Linked DNA regions of Sus scrofa. The protein of the gene in region 2 interacts with the protein of the main gene of each other region in a pairwise test. Links are inferred from orthologs where the notes say so. Each region holds a gene or a part of one and is shown on either strand. Other genes may lie near its edges.

Region 1 (6,465 bases), on a different chromosome or scaffold from region 2:
AATTGAGTAAGGAGAGCTCTAGCTCCCCTAAACATTTCTACCCAAGTTTCTGAACTTCTACCTACCTCAATTTCCACCTTACAAGCCTTATCTTAGAGGGTACGCTATTCAACATAAATTTATTAGAACTAAGATTCCACTGAGATTTGTCTGATAAACTAATTTTCCAAAATGAGCTAGGCATTGACTAGAATAGAAACATTATAAATATAAAGGCAAAAAAATAAAGGCAATTAAAAATTAAAAAATAAAGGCAAGCTGATTTATAAGGATGTCTAAGTCCATAACTTCGAAATAAATTTTTTCTACTACGTTTATACATTTTCATTTTAAATCACTTTAAAGTTGAATGCTCAAATTACTAAGTGAGCACTGCTATCAGTCACCTACCACCAAGTACATCAATAACTGAATCCTAACTAGGACCTTTGGCTCTCCAAACAAACAAAATAACACTACATCAATGCACCTAGCATAAGCTTTCCTCATGTTCACAGAATTCATCTTTGCTCTCCTCTGCCAACAACATTCTACAGATAAAGATACACATAAAGGAGTGGTTTATTATAATACATCATCTGTCAGGGTGTTATAATTAGGTAGGTGTCTCTCAACCCCACTACAGTATAATCCAAGGGGAGACTACCCAAAATTTATATCCCTCCTGATGGGCGGGATGTATACTCAAGAAATGTATACAGAACAATATGGTTTAAATTTTTTTATCTTGTTTTGGTGAAAATAAAAGTCTATAAATATTAAATATTAGGCTAGTAACTACTACATTTGAGTACAAATCTCAGTTCAAAGTGAATTCAAGTAATGCGGAGGTTTGCAAGTACTTCAAATCCTTCTTCCACTGGGGCAACTGTTCTCGATTTGGTTACATCCAAAGACCTTCAGTTTAAAGAACTAAAGAGCATCTATAAAGAATAGCGGAGTCCCTGTGCCTTCTCTCCTCCAATTTCATTCTCCATTCTTAATTCACCTGGTGAAGAAAGGAACTACACTATACTTTCACTAACTTATTCTCACACCATCCCCAAATTAAAGTTTCTTCTAAGACAAAAAATGTAATGTCTTACACTTTCTGCAACAGGTTTATAATGAGCTTTACCAAAATACACACATGGAAAAAAGGATCATAAAAGTATGGCCATTTAAAACAGAAGAAAATGGAAAATACATAAACTACAAAGAATTTAAGAGAATACAGTTTAATTAAAGGTTGTTTTTAAATGTTTACAGTAGTTTAGAAGTCAAAATAAGCCATGACCCATTATATTTAGCAAAACATTTTACTCGACTACAACAAAATAAGAGTCACTTTACTAGAGCAACCAGTAGAAGTAAGGTTGCCAGCGAATTAGAAAGTGAATTAAATCAATCACAGTAATTCTGTAGTTGCTTCTAATTCTGACAAGATTTCAGAAAAATATTTCAATGATACCTACATTTTTTTAAATGAAGGACAAACCTTGAAAACAACCAACCATCTTTTTGTGGCCATATTTCAACCAGGAACTACCACAGCAAGCAGTAGATTGCAAAGGCCAATCAATGCACAATAACAACAACAAAGCCTCTATTTAATTCCATTAACCTATTCAAAAGTACAAAGATTTTATTGGTAAAATCATACAACTATGTGAGAAACATATGCTATAGGAACAAGTCAACAAAAAGTTACATTTTTACAAGAACCCTATAAAGCAGTTCCTCATTGGTGCCACAAAATTTTAATCTCTCCTTACCTCCTGCTCAGTCAGCACTAGTTACTGCACAGGGATAAGCAAGTATCACTCCATCCAGCTATACAGATTAGAGAAATGTCCATCCCAAATTAAGTATGCCAAAGCTTAAAAAATGTTCCATTAAAAGGTTCTGAAGAAAGCTCAACTTCTAAAAGTGTAGCTCAATTCTTCTTTTAACATGGGGAGAAAAACAGTAAATTTTCTTGTAAGAAAGCTAACGAAGACTGTTGAACACTTAATTGTTCCTTTACTTGCAGATATGGACCTCTTTTCTATGCAATGTTATACTCATTTAATAAAAGGAAAGGAAATTTCCTAGAAGTCTTTGTCTACAGACCTTAAAAAAGCTTAGAATCTGACCATGTAGCACTCAAGGTAATTTTCTAAAATGTCATTGACACATCTCAGGAATCACATATCCAAAATGTAAACACAATAAAAAGAAGACAGATTTTCAAACTTCACGTTTGATTACAACGGGTTACATTTAAATATATAAACGGAATAGGAAACATTAAAGCTAACTGAATTTTTTTTCTAATATTTAAAACAGGGATACAATCAATCTTCAAAAAAAGACCTGCAAGGATTTCCAGCTTTCTCTATTAAAAAAAAAAAAAAATCTTGCGTCACAAATAAGAGTCTTAATGGAGAGGGTTTTTTCGAAACCCACAAAAACACATTAACCAGTAGAATTTTACTGAGCTTCTCATAAGGACTTGGAAAATATGAAAAAAATAAAGCCTTTACGTACACTGCAGTCGGGCACAATTTGATTTTTTTAAAATGTGTTGCTACATAAAAGGCAGTAAAAATGTGAACAGTAGGTTTACAGCTTAAACGTCACTACTCTAGTAACAACCTTTTACAAGGATGCTCAACATCAGACATCACAGCTCCTGCGGCTAGTCCTTCTAGGCAACTGCGGCCTGCGATACAAGAAAAAAAACCTTGCATTCTCACTTTCTCTGGCCTCTCTTAACTCCTCGGAGGACACTAAACATTTTGCTTTTGGAAATCGGTTCATTGCTACAACCTTTATTTTAAAACTATACCATATGAAATGCGTGTGAAATTCTTTAATCACAACTCTGATCTCTTGGTGAGCTACCTTTTTTATTCCATCCAACCATCGCGCTTCCAAGTCTTCCTTTTGGCCCGAGCCACCGATCTAACTGGTATTTTCATCACAAAGGCCAAGAGCAGCTGGGCCTCAAAGGCACCGTAAGCCCTCGACCACCGGGGCAGGGCCAGCGCCACCGACTTTCACACACGATCCCAAGTCAAAGGACTTGTTGCAAACGTGCCCGCACCTTAGCCTCCTTCCTAAAGAGTGAAGGGAGGAGGAGGAAGGCACCACGCCGAAACCTGTCGCAAACGCGAGCAGGAGAGCCCAGGAAGCAGGGCGCGCGGGATACAAAGGGCCGTGAACGCGGCCTTCCATGAGGCGACCGTGCACCGAAAGGCAGACAAAATGGAGCGACTGGAGGAATCGGAGTCCGAGCGGCAGGGCTGGGGGCGAGGCGGCGGCCGGCGCGCGCCCCGCCGGGCTTCCTCCTCGCCCCGGCGGCGGGGGAGGGGGCGCCGGGGCCGCCGTTCTCCCCGCCGCGCACACGCCGTCCTGCCGCCCGGGCCTAGCGCGGCGGGAAGCGCCCGCCGGCCGCCGCCAACAATGGAGAGCGAGGCGGAGGCGCGGGAGGGGCAGGAGGTGGCTGCACGGCGGCCGGCGTCCGCGCTCGGAGCCCCGTGGCAGGTCGCCGCGCCCGCGGCCCGTGAAACGACGCGGTAGAACGACGGGCAAGGGGGGCGCCGCGCCGGGGTCGGGCGGCGCGGCCCACAGGCGCCAAGGGCGCACGGTCTGCAGCCACGCCGGCTCGCGGCCCGCGGCGGGCCCCGAGTCCTCTTCCCGCCCGTAGCGCCGCCCAACTCGGCGGCGTGAGCCCGGGCCCTCACGTACCTGGTTGAACTCTTCGCCCACATCCGCGTAAATGTCTATGTGGTCCACACCGTCCGCCATCTTCCCTCGGCCTCGGCCGCCGCCGCCGCCGCCGCCTCCTGCAGGTCCGCCAGCCGCGGCAGCAGCAGCGGATCTAGCGGCGGGGGCGGGGCGCGCTGCGTCACTTCCGAGGCCCAAGGGCCGAGGCGGGGGCGGCCGGGGGCGCCGGGCTCCTCAGCCGCTGCCGGCTCGGCCCGCCGAGAGCGGAATCTGCAGCTCCCAGTGCACCGGCGGTTTCTTTTGTGTGTCTGGGTTAGGCTCGGGGGGCGGGGCAGGGGGTGGTCCCACTTGTTTCCAGAGACTGTTGTCTCGGAGCTCTGGCACTCTCAAACGTTTGGTAATATTTGCATTTGTCGGCTTTTCTTATATTTCTCACAGCCAGGGTTTTTAGAGAGGTGGAAGTTTTAGGTCCAAGATGAAATACGAAGTGTAACCCCGCTTTCTGTGAGCGCCTTGGGAAGAGAGCAGTGTCTTACCCCTGTATCTTCAGAGGGCTACTGAGATAGGGTTGCCTTGTAAAAACTAGGTACCCTAGAAGGTTATCTTGAGTTATTTGCATGCTACTTAGGTTATTTGCATGCTGTTTATCTTTCCATTGGTATCTCCCTCCTCTTCTTTAATCTCTTCTTCCTCCCTTCATTGCCTTTCATTTTTTCCTCCTTTGATCTGCAGTTGGTTTTCTCTGGAGTAATTGAAATGCCGTTAACACGAAGGCAGTCCTTCTGGGGTTCGTCCCCCCTCCCCTTCCCACCACCACAGTAAGGTAGAGGTATGTTGAAGCGAGGGGCCTCTTAGAATCACAGAATATCGGAGAGGGAACTGGAAAAGGTGTCATTAGGTCCAAATATCTAATTTTACAGATGAGAGAGGTAACTGAGGCCTAAAGAAGCTAAATAGTGTATCCGAGTCTCGGGTTAATAAGGAAAGCATTTGCTGCCAATGAATGTAGTAGTCCCTCCTTAAAGAAGGTTCAGATCCTTAACCCACTGCGGAAAGCCAGGGATTGAACCTGCAACCTCATGATTCCTAGTCAGATTCATTAACCACTGAGCCAGGATGGGAACTCTGTGAGTAGAGTCTTGAAATCTCTAGCCATCCCACTCCAACCAGCCCTGGAAGTGAATCATCTCTCTGTTTAGCACCTCTTACACCGTACCTGTTAATAGAGGAAAAAACAGTATATGTAGAGTTTAGTACTATCCACAATTTCAGGCATCCACTAAGGATCTTGGAATATATGCCCTCAGGTAAGTGAGGACTACTGTACTTTATCCAAAGTTGTCTCTCCAGCTTGAAACCTCCCATTCTTTACTTCTTTTCACCCTTTTTAAAATCCAAGTTAGACTGTTTCATAAGATGCATACTGCCCAGAAATCATGATAAGCCAAGTGATATCTATACTTGGCACGATGGGAAAGGCTTGGTTGGAGTCATCAAGACCAGCCAGGTGATCTGGATACAAATTTCTAGTCAGACACTTTACTGGCTAGATGACCTCAGTCAAGTTACCTAACCTCTCTCATGTTCAATCTCAGAATCTTTAAAGTTGAAGTAGTAATATTTACCTCACCAATGTTGAAAGTTAATAGTGCTTTAAACGAAGTCATATGAAAAATGCCTTCTGCTTCTTGGCAACACACTTTCTTCGTTTTTTGCTTAGGGCTTTACAGAAGAAAGCCACTCCTGATGAAGGGTAAGAGCATGTTTTAGATTAGTAATGTGGCAGGCACAATAATGGCCCATCATAGACGGCCACATCTCAATCCCTGGAATCTGTGAATATGTTACCTTACATTCCAAAACAGACTTTGCAGGTGTGATTAAGTTAAGGATCTTGGGAAAGGGAGATTATCCTGGATTTCTTGGTGAGTCCTTATAAGTGAAAGGGCAAGGCAAGGGTCAGGAGACAAGATGATGAAAGCAGTTTATGTTCTTTCAGTAGTTTAAAAATCATTCTAGGGAGTTCCCTTTATGGCACAGCGGAACAAATCCGACTAGGAACCATGAGGTTGAAGGTTTGATCCCTGGCCTCACTCAGTAGGTTAAGGATCCGGTGTTGCCTTGAGCAGTGGTGGAGGCCAGCAGCTGCAGCTCTGATTCAACCCCTAACCTGGGAACCTCCATATGCCACCTGTGCAACCCTAAAAAGCAAAAAAAAAAAAAAAAAAAAATCCTATTCTAAGACTTCTGTTGCTATCTGTGAAAAATCACTTCTTAGTCTGACTGTATTTTTGAAGGTCATTGGGTTTTTTTTTTCCCACCTGAATACTCACAATTTTTTTCTCTTAGGCTGTGTGGTTTTGTGCTCTTTTATTATCTATATTTGGAGGGTTTGTTGGTTTATTGCTTTAAATGATGATTGGAGTTCATTGGAATTGAATATATTGATTGATGCCTTTCATGAATTCTGGAAAATACTCAGACATTACCTCTTCAAATATTGCTTCTGCCCCACTCCTTTTTCTCTCCTATAATGCCAGTTTAATATATGTTACATCTTTCTATCCACTATTTCTCTCTCTCTCTCTCTCTTTTTTTTTTTTTTTTTTTTTTTTTTTTTTTGCTTTTTTAGGCCCACACCTGCTGCATATGGAAGTTCCCAGGCTAAGGGCTTAATCAGAGCTATAGCTGCCAGCCTACACCACAGCCACAACAATGCGGGATCTGAGCCACATCTGCCACCTATACCATAGCTCATGCTAATGCTGGCTCCTT
Region 2 (6,660 bases):
CACAGCCACAGAGACCCCAAGAAGTTCCAGGGGTGGTGCCCCCCGCCCCCGGGAGCTCGAAGTGGGGCAACGGGCACGTGGTTGCATCTCACTACTCAGGGGCCCAAAAGCCCCAGGACACACGAGGGGAGGCACTGAAGCACAGGCTGGAGGGAAGCTGCCCCCCCCAGGGCCCCAGGGCCAGCGTCCCCACGGCCCCCTCGGTCATCAGAGCAACTTTACACCCCGCTCTGCTGCCAGCGCTCAAAGATCCGCCACACGCGTCCGAGCTCCCAGGAGGGAAACCGGCCCCTCACCTCCCTGCGCCGGCCTCAAGAGCAGGCAGGAGTTCTGGCAAATCTACCGCCGGAAACAGGAAAAGAGGGTCACACAGACTCCCAGGGGCTGTCAGTGCGCACACAGGGCTGGGCAGGCGTGAGCGGGAGGACGAAGGGGACGGCAGCCCCCGGCAGGCTTTAGCACAGGGGACCCCCTCCCTGTGACCGCACAGTGGCTCCTCTCCCAGAAACAGGGCGTGCTTCTTCTCGTTCTAAGATGGGCAGGCGGGCCGATCAGTCAAGTCCAGAATACAGTCTATGAAACACGACTTTCCAAAACCATCAGCAGCTTCCTGCAAAAACCGTAGTCTGCGGGTGTCAACAGCCGCCAGAGCAAAACACACCATGAGTCATCCTTGCTGTGCGTGCGAATTTCACTCCTTCCTTTGTCCTCAGCAGAGGCGCCGGCAGCAGGCCGGGAGCGGCAGCCCAGGGCCCCAGCACAGCCCGTCCGGGGGCAGGGAGGGTGGACACCCGCCGGCTGGCCTCCTGCCCGGCACGGAGACCAGTCTCTCTCACGCTAGCTGTGGTCTGCCCTTGAAGATACACCTTCGTGTGATCTGAGAAAAGGGCACGGCCACACGAGCAGGCCGCACACCAGCCGCTTCATGCCAGCTGCCACACACACCGACAAAACCCGCCACGTCACAGGGGTCATTTTCTCAAAATCATCAAACTCCTGTCACACAGGATGGTTTACTCTGCCCCTCCCCCAAGCCTGGTGATCCCAACTCACATAAACCCAGAAAGGAAAGCCACAGGAGCAATCCACTTCTGTAAGAGTTACGATAGGAACTCATCGATAAAGCAACTTTGTTAATTAAAAAATACGCAGGCACTTGGTCATGGCTCAGCGAAAACGAGTCTGACTCCTATCCACGAGGACGCAGGTTCAAGCCTGGGCCTTGCTCAGTGGGTTAAGGATCAGCATTGACGTGGCTGTGGTGTCGGCCGGCAGCCACAGCTCCAATGCGACCCCTAGCCTGGGAACTTCCATGTGCCGTGGGTGTGGCCCTAAAAACAAACAAACAAAAAAGTATTAACAAAATAATAAAAATCTGATCCCCTTGCTGCACAGTGGGAAAATTTTAAAAATAATAATAAAAAATGCCACATTCCGTGTGTGGGGGGGAACCCACAGTGTCCCCTCAGGTTAGAGGGACAAAGGAAGGAAGAAAGAAGGCCAGCTTAAGCTGCACCAGAGGAAACGGGGGGGGGGGCAGCACAGAAGCACAGGGCTGGTTTCCAGGGTGACAGTCAAGTACACAACCTGAGCACGCTCCTCCCTAACCGATGCCTTCTGACTGGCTCCCGAGGCAGCAAACTCTGCCCACAGATCAGGATGGGCACAGAGGCGGCACATGGACAGCTCAGCTCCAAGTTCCGCAACGTGTGTCAACCCTTTGGTTGTGAAACTCGGACCTGCTGCTTGGACCTCCACACCTGGAGAGACTGCAGAGCGGAATAAAACCCCAGCTCAAAGCAGGATCTGGCCAGGAAAAATCCCGACTGCAATAATATCAGGAACATAATAATTAGCCTCATGTCAAAACCGGCAGCCTGATTAAACCCAAGTGCTCTTGAGATTCATTAGCAACCAGCTGTGAACCAAAGAGTTCCCGCTTCTGCTCCCCTCCATAAAATAACGCCACCCTCACCTTCCGTGAGTTAAACTAGACGCCACACCAATATACCCGCTGACGTCACCCTGCCTGACTCAGCAGGTGACAGGCCATGTCCACGCGGGTCTGTCCGTGTCCAGGCATGCCTCGTTTTATGTGCCTGCCCTATGTCACTTCCCAGACGGTGTGCTTTTTGCAAACTGAAGGTTTGTGGCACCCTCTGTCAAGCCAGTCTATTGTGCTATTTTCCCAGCAGCGTTATCTTTAAGGAAGGACCGTCTTTTCTACACACGATGCCACTGCACACTGAACTGACTGCAGGGTAAAGGTAATTTGACATGCACCGGGGAACCAGATAATTCGTGGAATTAGCTCTATGGTGATGCTCGCTTTACCGTGACGTCTGGGACGGAGCGGCGGGCTCGTATCCCATTCCGCCACACGTCTGCTCTGGGCCCTCCGAGTCTGGCTCCGGGTGTGTGACTAGAAACCCGACCCCCGAGGAGCTCCCTCTGCAGCAGCTGGAACACAGCCCGCAGGGAGGGCTTCACAAACCGTACTAAACAAGCAACACAAAATAGCCTGGATGGTCAGGGAGCGCTCAGCGTGCCAGCTTAGTGCCGTCAGGGTGGCTTTCTAGATGGTGACATCGCCCGACTGGGTCAGAAGAAGAGAAGAGAGTGCTGGAAACACACCTGCCCAAGGGTGTGAGCCCAGGTGGTCTGCCTCCCTGATGCGAGACCAAGACAGTTACTCGCAGGCTGCAGGTTCCAGAAGGGGGCTCTGGCCTGCCTCTGACAGTTACAGAACCAAGGACCCAAAAGCACCTTGCGGGCAGTCACACAGCAGCAACTGCAGGCGGGTCCCAGAGACCACCTCATACACACGGGATTCAGCACACGCAACGCCCACCTCAAAGCTGCGGCCTCCTTTACCCTAAACTCTGACATGGAGACGCTACACTGTGCAAAGGATAGAGTTTCCTCAGCCAGGGTCAGATAGAGAGATATCTTAGCCCGCCTTACAGAGCTGGTTGTTTACAGAGATAAAGCCAAGAACCAGTTCCAAAAACTAGCAACCTAAGGAGCTGGACGAGGAGTATTACATGGGAACAGACTTTAAAAACCGACTCTCTCAGCGAGAAGCCCTTTCTCCTGTCCCTACCCCTGTAATCAATTTACAGGCCTCGGGGAAGCAAGGGCGCAGGGAGGAGTCCCGCAGCCGCACTATTTTAAGGGATTCGAGCTACGGAGAGGCCAAGCCAGGCCCCGGCCCACACGCCAGCCAACGGGAAACAGCTCCAAGCAGTCAGCTCCGCAGGTCAGCAGAAGGCGCCTCTCCCTGCGGGCCCCTACTTTCGCGGGCACCACTTCCCAGCGGCGGGGAGCTGCTGACACACTACGACCCCCACCCCAGCAGCGAGCACGGATGCTGGAAGCACAGGAGCCTCCGCTCCGGCGGCGACTTCGCCTCGCCTCGCCTGCACCCCGACGTGCCCCCGCCTCCCGGGCGGTCGTCGAGGTGAAACCGGAGGGCGCAGGGCCGGCTCGCGGAGGCGCGCCCAGCGGGTGTCGGGGGGCGGCAGGGAAAGGGGGCGAGGGAAGGGGAGGCCTGGAGCCGCGGCGGACTTACGTGCTTGAGGCAGCGCTCCTTGAGCTTCTCCACCGAGGTGTCCTCGGTCGCCTCCTCCAGCCACTCGGCGCCGTCCGACGCGCAGATGTGCAGCCGCAGCACCTTGCCCGCGAAGATCTTCTCCTCCTGCACGAACATCGCGCCGCCGCCGCCGCCGCCGGGGCCTGCGCCCGCCGCCCGGGCCCTGAAGGTCACCGGGGCGGGCGGGCCGGGGGCGGGGCTAGGCCGCCCGCGCGCTCCCTCGCTGGCAGCCGCCGCCCCGCCCCGGCTCCCGTCGGCCAGCCGCCCGCCACTCGACGCGGACCGAGCCGTCGCCTCGCTCCGCCGCCGAGCCGCCGGGGGCGCGCTGCCGCCGCCGCCGCGCAGGAAGTGCGTCACAGGGCGCGCCCGGAGCACGCCGGGAGATGTGGTTCTCCCGCGGCCGCGCGCCGTCTTTGCCGCGCCGGAAATGCGTCAGGGTGCGCCCGGAGCGTGCTGGGAGGTGTAGTTCTCGGGCCGCTTCCTTCGTCCGGTCCTGGCCGTGGGCTTGCGAGTTGGTTTTGAGACGGGGTCTCAGTGTGAAATACGCAATGGATCTTCAAGATCTGGCAGGAAAAGAGCCTGAAGAATACCTCCTAATGTTTATATCTTGCCTACATGTTGAAATAATAGTTTGGATATATTGGGTTAAGTAAAATACATCAAAGTTGGTTTCACCTGCTTCTTTTCACTTTCTTCTTTTGGCCTTTTTTTTTTAAGAGCCGCAACCCAGGACATATGGAAGTTCCCAGGCTAGGGGTTGCATCGTAGCTGCAGCTGCAGCTGCTGGCCTCTGCCACAGCCACAGCCACCTGGGATCAGAGCCGCATCTGCCACCTACTCTGCAGCTCACAATCACGCGGGATCCCCAACCCGCTGAGCGAGACCAGAGGTCACACCCGCGTCCTCATGGATGCTGGCCGGGTTCGTTATCTCTGAGCCACAAACAGGAACTCCTCTTTTCACGTTTTAAAGCTGTGGCTACTAGATACTTTTAGATTGCATATGTGGCTGCTGTGGTTCCTTCTGGACCGCACTGCCCTAGATCAGAGTCTCTCAAAGTGTGGTCCCAGGACCAGGAGCAGCAGTGCCTGAGAGCTTGTCAGAAGTTCGGGTTCTCTCCGAGTTCCGAGTTCCCTTTGTGGCTCAGTGGTTAACGAATCCGAGTGGTATCCATGAGGACGCGGGTTCAATCCCCGACCTCACTCAGTGGGTTAAAGATCCAGCGTTGCTGTGAGCTGTGTGTAGGTCACAGACACAGCTTGAATCCCACGTTGCTGTGGCTGTGGTGCAGGCCGGCAGCTGTAGCTCCGATAGGACCCCTAACCTGGGAACCTCCGCATGCCCCGGGTGTGGCCCTAAAAAACAAAAAACAAAACCAATAAAGAAAAGAAAGAAGCAATTGGGGTTCCTCGACCCGCTTGGATCCTCCGATCAAGGACTCGGGGGAGGTGCGCTCGGCGGGCTCGCGAGCGTCCCCAGGGAAGGAAGCTGACCTGTGCCTGACCCGCCCTCACCCGCCGCATTCATCCAGGGGCCTTTGCTGAGCAAGGCCACACAGTTCTTGTTCTCGGAGGGTGGCCGTCTAAACGGGGACCCAGTCCCAGCCCCTCTCGCCTTCACCGTGTCATACACACGTGATTTCCCCCCACCACGCTTCCCACCACGTCCAAGTTCCCTTTGTCCATTGACTGACTGCCTCCCTGAGCCAGCCCCTCGCTGCTCACTGAAAATATAGTCATGATTAAGCTGGAGGCCAAGGTAGAGTCCTGGGAATGTGTGTTCTCACGCAGGAGGTACACGTGCTGGCGGTTGTGCGGACACGGTCGCACAAGACGGGCGACCTGGGGGGCCAGCAGGGCCTGGAGGGGAGGCGCCGGGGAGCGGACTCCGGGCCGCGAAGGCACATGAAGGCTGAGGAGGAGGCGTGGAGAAGAAGAGGATCCAGGACGGAAGGGAACTGGCGGGGAGGAGGCTGGAGGGGCCATGTGCAGCCAGGTCAGGCGTGTCACTGAGCCACCGGGCCTGCAGAGGAGCCATGGGGGAGGGGGGACAGGGGACCCGAGGCAAGGCAGACAGCGACGGGGACGGGTGGGGACCTTTGACAGAGGGCGTCTGTAAACACATGCAGGAGGAAGAGTAACAGAAAGGCTTCCAGCCTGGGTGACAGGGAGCCTGGTGGAGAAGGGGCTGCATGGGAAGGCTGGAGTCCGGGAGAGAAGTCTGGCCTGGGGTCAAGGGTCAGGCAGCTGTCAATGCGCAGCGTGGCTGGTGGCTGAGACCGTGGCGCTGCCAACCCCCCCCCCACACACACACACACTTTACAGAAGAGCCGTGGAGACCGAGCAAAGGGGGTGCGTGACATTCTGAGTGCGGCCCCAAGGAACCCAAAGGGAGCATTTCAAGGAGAAATATAAGCCTGTGGGGGACCTGGAGATGCCACATGGCCCCAGAGAGACTGTCTTGGGGGGCCAGGAAGAGCCCTGACCACTGGGGCTGAAGGGGCTCCTCAGATACTGGGTGTCCCAGTGCTTGGGGGCGTCCCTGGCCTCTGTGGTTCCAAAGGCATCCTTTTCAGTGTGTGGGACGGGGACCGGGGAGCCCCTTCCTCTCACGATGTCAGTAACAAACTGGCTAAAAGCGCCCTGATCAGCCAAATCACTCAGGCCTCACGCGTCCAGAATCCTCCATCCACCGAGCCTCCCCGCACGCGTCCCGATGCCCCGATGCCAGCCTCGCTGCCGTGCACACCCAGCCATCCCGGAGCTCGGAACCTCCTCCTCGGGGAGCCCACCCTGGCTGTGCCTCCTCCAAGCCACCGCTTAGCACACTGTGAATGGCCTGCCCCTCTGGCGGCTGACCCCGTCACCCGAGCAGACCTCTGCAGGCTGGCTCTCCTTAGCGGTGTGTGGGCAGAAATTTCCCAGGGGCTCAGATGTAAGCGAGTGGTCCCAGCTCCCGTCGGTGGCAGCGCCTCCTCCGAGCGGGGGCCAGTCAGTGATCTTTCCCCGCCAACCTCAGGACGCAGAAGAGCCTGTGGGGTACAGCCGTGAGCCCGGACCAGGGCTCCC
Region 3 (5,899 bases), on a different chromosome or scaffold from region 2:
AGTGACAGGAAGAGACGTCCAGGGAAAATTGACTCTGTCAGCACACCTTCCCTCAGCTGTCATGTTCGGGGAGCGGCACGGGGAAGACGTGCTACTGCTATAACCAGGAAGCATCTCCGGGTGCGTTTTCTATGGCCCTGACCACGTGAGCGTCACTTCCTACAAGGCCGAACTCTCATGTACCACATGGAGACAGCAGGGAAAGGCTCCAAGTTCTAACTGAGCACATCAGATTTTAGCTTCTGCCAAACATTATTTCTCCTTAACACCTTATGCTCATTCAAATTTCACAACCCTTTTTTCCAAAAGTCCTGTAAATTTAAAAATTACCCACCAAAACCAGCAGACACCATAAAAAACATGAAAGGCCAGAAAAACACGGTCAGAGATAAGGAAGGCATGAACAAGAACTAAGGCACAAAACCCTACAACCTCCCATCCAAATAACTAGCAGGCTCTGGGACGATTAGGCATTCAGTGGGGAGAAGCATCTGAAAGCAAAGTTCCTTTTACTGATGCCTGGGTGGTAGCAAGGACATGTCTAATGAGGACCAACCATACCCAGACCGCAGGCGCTATTTCCTGCTGCGTGCTGCCCTCTCACTTTTCATGCGGCTCCCTGGGAGCTCAGAGAAGCTGTGCGGCACCACAGGATCAGTAAAGATGCCACGCAGGGCATAAAGAGGACAGAGCCTTTTCTTTCTCAGGTCACTACTGGGGGGTGGGGGGAGTGCGGGGACAGGGAAGAGTCATTCTTTTTCAACGACAGGGCAGGCATTCCCTATTTAGTATGGGGAATGAGATTCGGAAACAGGATGCACTGTGTGTTTCCTTCAGAGTAATTTTACCAAAAATGAGCCTACATTTAGGAGTCTGTGGACGACTGCCTGGATCTTGGTGATCCACAGGTGGAAGGGGTATAAACACGGCAGATTCACCTGAGGTTCACTGTCTTTCAAGTTAAGACCCAGTGGCTGTCTTAACCATTAAAGTAACTCCACATTTGCTTGCCTTCTGGAAAGAAAAGCACACTGTTTGCTGAGAATCACTAGAACTTGCGCAGGAGAGAGAAGAGGCTTCTCTGTTCTGACAGACCGCCATGAAATGGGCACCACACAGAGGACGTCACTAAATGGAGCATGGGTGTTACCCACCAGGGACCAGCACCCGTCTGAAATCTTGGAACAAAGGCACTCAACAGAATCTTACCTAGGGCCTCAAAGGGGAAAAAAAAAAAAAAAAAAAAAAAATCCTTGAGAGCTTTCAGTAGCTGCTCATTCTCTTCTGCGACAAACCACCACTCCTTGGGCAGTGATGGGTTCCTGGGCCCTTTACAGACCCTACTTCATGCAACTAGCAACTGAGCTATCAGGGGAAGGATGGTGTGACCAGCCCCAAGTCAGAAAGCAAATCAAGGAGGAGCAGCGCTGGAACATGTTTGTTATACTCTAGTAATCCTTCATTCCGCAGTAAAATTCATCATCCTCCGTGTCTTTACGGTCAAAACAGAACTGCCCTGCTTCTAGTCTGTATTTCTTTTCATTCGGTTCTTCCTGATCAGCAAATACCTTTGTCTATGTATCTTCACCCTGCCAAACTCCTTTGCTCTCTGCCATCATAAACCATCCCAATTTCCACAAGCTGAACTCTTCATTCTGTTACCACCGGAAGAAGCAATCAAGAGGTATGAGCCCACTAGGGAGACAGGTAGAGCACCTTTCGGGTGATTGCATAGTGTCCTTTGAGCTCATGCAGGGCCCACTTGATGTCCTGACTGCTCAGCATTTTGAAGTCGGCCATCAGGAGGTCAGCAGCTTGGATGAAGCAGCGCTGGTCAAGAGGAGCCAATTTAGAGTAGTCAAAAAAGTCTATCTTAGGCAACTGAAACGAGAGACAGGTACACCATTAGAGGCAGATGGTGCATTTGCCGGGAGGAGGAAATCATTTGAAGAATTACCTCTTACAGAACAGATTAATCTGACTTGTACTCATAATTACGCTTAAGGAAGATACCAGCCCTGAAGAGAGATGAAGAAATGGTGGTTCAGAAAGATTATACAGCCTGTCTGGAGTCTGGAGACTAGTTTTACTAGTTGGAACTATGAAAAAGTAGAGCTGGGGATTTAAACCCAATCTTTTAGCCATTTTCTTTCCACAAAATGCTGAGAAAAAAGGACTTTTTTTTTTTCTAGCTGAAAAATATAGGCATACTTTGGAGATAATGCAGGTTTGATTCCAGATCACTGAAATAGACTTCCAAGTCAGACAAATCTTCTGGTTTCCCAGTTCATAGAAAAGTTATAGTTACATTTATACCATACTGTAGTCTATTAAGTGTGCAAAAGCATATGTCTAAAAAAAGTACATATCTCAATTAAGAAATACTTTACTGCTAAAAAATGCTAAATATCATCTGAGCTTTCAGCAAGTCAACCTTTTCTCAATAGCAACATCAAGTCACTGATCACAGGTCACCACAACAAATATAATAATGAAAAAGTCTGAAATATTGTGAAAATTACCAAAAAGTAATATAGAGACCAAGCTATGGGAAAAGTGGCAATGACCGACTTACTCAATGCAGGGCTGCCACAAACCTTCAATTTGCTAAAAAAAAAAAAAAATCGTAACATCTGCAAAGTGCAATAAAATGAAGAGTAGCAAAATGAGTAATGCCTGTACATAAAAGGAATAGCCAAAAAGAATTTGTGGGGAAGAAGAAGTATCAAACAATAGATTCCAGTGAAGCAGTTCTAAACTATACCTTCCTTCCACCACTTAGGACAATAAATGCTAGTTTGGATCACAAATGAAGACAATGGGAATTTCCGTCTTGGCGCAGTGGAAACGAGTCCAACTAGGAACCATGAGGTTGCAGGTTCGATCCCTGGCCTTGCTCAGTGGGTTAAGGATCCGGTGTTGCAGTGAGCTGTGGTGTAGGTCACAGACGAGGCTTAGATCTGGCGTTGCTGTGGCTGTAGCATAGGCCGGCAGCTACAGCTCCGATTAGACTCCTAGCCTGGGAACACCCGCATGCCGTGGGCGTGGCCCTAAAAAGGCAAAAGAAAAAACAAAAAAACAAAAAAACAAAACCCAAAACAAACAAAAGAACAAATGAAGACAGTGATTAAGGTTTTTAAAAACCCAACTGTTTATATACCTTGATATGGGATTTGGTTACATAGGTGGATGCACTGTATATAAGTCTTACACAAAAAAGAATAGCTATAGACAGATATTCAACTCTAGGCAATAATCTGCATGCTCAAGTATTTACGGCACAGCACAGTGATGTTTTTGCATTTACTTTGAAATGCATTATAATAAAATAAAATATAAATCCTGAGGGATGGATGTGTGACAAAATGGACACAGTAAAACGTTCATTTTTAATAGTACTGCTGGGGGTATATAGGTAATCAAAGGAGAATTCCTTTGCCTTTACTGTATGTTTGAAAATTTTCAAAATAAAATGTTAAAACCTAAAATGATCCAAAGAATCCCAGCCAATTCTTGTTTCATCTTAGGTACTTGCTTTGTAGGATTAGAGATGTGGAAGATTCGTTTAATTCCTTGTGGGGAAGGAAAGACAGGGGTGCAATGAAAGCAGCCAAATACAGAATTCAAAGTGGCTCAGAAATATATATAAATACACACATATACTTATTACTGGAATATAAATATATTCTGAAATGCTATTCTCCTGGACAGCTGTAAAAAAAAAGCATCCTGACAAAGCACTTGATTCCCATACAAACGACGAAAGGAGCAGAGCATTTCCAGGAAGACACTCCAAAACAAGAGCACAACTTGCCTTTGTCTCATCATGGCTGGCAAGCAGGCTGCTATTGGGGTTGATAATGATTCTATCTTCTCTCTTTGGATAATCTGGATTTTCCAGAAGAAAATTACAAAGTCTGCAAAAATAAATGATGTTACTTTGATACTGCTTCCAAATCCCACACCTGCCTACTGATTCAAATGTAATGTTTAAAAAATAAATTCTCTAGTCACACATTATAAATGACCTACCAAGGAATTAAAACATTTACGGATCAGGGGGAAAACCCAAATTAATAGATAAAAGAAAATGGAAGTTCCCATCGTGGTGCAGTGGTTAACGAATCCGACTAGGAACCATGAGGTTGAGGGTTCAGTCCCTGCCCTCGCTCAGTGGGTTAAGGATCCGGCATTGCTGTGAGCTGTGGTGTAGGTTGCAGATGCGGCTTGGATCCCACGTTGCTGTGGCTCTGGCGTAGGCTGGTGGCTACAGCTCTGATTTGACCCCTAGCCTGGGAACCTCCATATGCCCCAAGAAATAGCAAAAAAAAAAAAAAAAAAAAAAAAAAGACAAGAAAATTACACTGAATCCCTATTTTTACTTGCTAATTTAAAAAGTAATAAACATACTGATGAATACCAGATAAATGTACATTCTGAATTTTTTCTATTACTTGGGTATCAATGTTATGGATTCACTGAAATTCTTACTGGTTGAACTGTATGGAACTGGAGAATTTAGATGAAAAGCAGCTATTGTTTGTCAGGAAAACTTTAAGGGATGGGAAAAAGTTTGTATTTACATTCACAATTAAAAACAGTTTTCTAGGAGTTCCCGCGTAGCTCAGTGGTTAACGAATCTGACTAGGAACCATGAGGTTGTGGGTTTGATCCCTGGTCTTGCTCAGTGGGTTAAGGATTGACGTTGCTGTGAGCTGTGGTGAAGGTCGCAGATGTGGCTCGGATCCTGCATTGCTGTGGCTCTGGTGTAGGCCGGTGGCTACAGCTCCGATTGGACCCCTAGCCTGGGAACCTCCATATGCCGTGGGAGTAGCCCAAGAAAATGGCAAAAAGACAAAAAAAAAAAAAAAAAAAGTTTTCTAGGAAGTTTCCATCATGGCTCAGTGGTTAAAGAATCTGACTAGGAACCATGAGGTGGCAGGTCTGATCCTTGGCCTCGCTCAGTGGGTTAAGGATTCAGCATTGCCGTGAGCTGTGGTGTAGGCCACAGACGATCCCTAGTTTCTGTGGCCCCGGGGTAGGCCGGTGGCTACAGCTCAGATTAGATCCCTAGCCTGGGAACCTCCATACGCTGAGGGTGCAGCTCTAGGAAAAAAAAAGACACCCCCCCCCAAAAAAAAACCCCAGTTTTCTATATGGAGTTCCTGCTGTGGCGCAGTGGGATCAGTGGCATCTTGGAAGGACTGGGACACAGTTTCGAGCCTCGGCCTGGCACAGTGGGTTAAAGATCTGGCATTGCTGCTGCTGCAGCTGGGGTTGCAATTGTGCGTGAATGTGATCCTTGGCCATACGCCTCGGGGAAGCCAAGGGAAAAAAAAAGTTTTCTATGATCAGCTCATCTAGGACAAAGGAGGCAAGAACATACAATGGAGGGAAAAACGTCTCTTCAGTAAGAGGTGCTGGGAAAACTGGACAGCTACCTGTATAAGAATGAAATTAGAACACTCTTTAACAACTATACACAATAATAAACTCAAAATGGATTAAAGACCTAAATGTAAGACCAGACACCATAAAACTTTTAGAGGGAAACATAAGCAGAACACTCTCTGACATAAACTGTAGCAAGAGGAGATCCACCTCCTACAGTGATGAAAATAAAAACAAAAATAAATGGGACCTACTTCAACTCAGAAGTTTTTGCACAGCATAAGAAACCATAAACAAAACAAAAAGACAACCCAGAGAATGGGAGAAAATATTTGCAAATGAAGCGACTGACAAGGGATTAATCTCAAAAATATACAAACACCTCCTGCAGCTCAATATCAAAAAAGCAAACCACACAATCAAAAAATGGGCAGAACATCTAAACAGACAATGTTCCAAAGAAGACATACAGATGGCCAAAAAACACATGAAAAGATGTTCAACACCA

What was found.
Region 1: the proteins of UBAC1 (region 2) and CPSF6 interact in a two-hybrid assay, tested with the Homo sapiens proteins (2 studies listed by BioGRID and IntAct). The link is inferred for Sus scrofa from reciprocal best matches to the Homo sapiens genes UBAC1 and CPSF6.
Region 3: the proteins of UBAC1 (region 2) and RNF216 interact in binary tests that used the Homo sapiens proteins (3 or more experiments, as listed by UniProt). The link is inferred for Sus scrofa from reciprocal best matches to the Homo sapiens genes UBAC1 and RNF216.

Annotation. Positions count from the first base shown.
Region 1 is NC_010447.5:33,523,070-33,529,534, reverse strand, and holds the start of CPSF6 (cleavage and polyadenylation specificity factor subunit 6), read right to left. Parts: upstream 3,868-6,465; 5' UTR 3,772-3,867; coding exon 3,712-3,771; intron 1-3,711. UniProt on the Homo sapiens protein: Component of the cleavage factor Im (CFIm) complex that functions as an activator of the pre-mRNA 3'-end cleavage and polyadenylation processing required for the maturation of pre-mRNA into functional mRNAs.
Region 2 is NW_018084833.1:1,654,419-1,661,078, reverse strand, and holds the start of UBAC1 (ubiquitin-associated domain-containing protein 1), read right to left. Parts: upstream 3,746-6,660; 5' UTR 3,710-3,745; coding exon 3,572-3,709; intron 1-3,571.
Region 3 is NC_010445.4:4,275,664-4,281,562, forward strand, and holds part of RNF216 (E3 ubiquitin-protein ligase RNF216), read right to left. Parts: intron 3,918-5,899; coding exon 3,815-3,917; intron 1,882-3,814; coding exon 1,717-1,881; intron 1-1,716.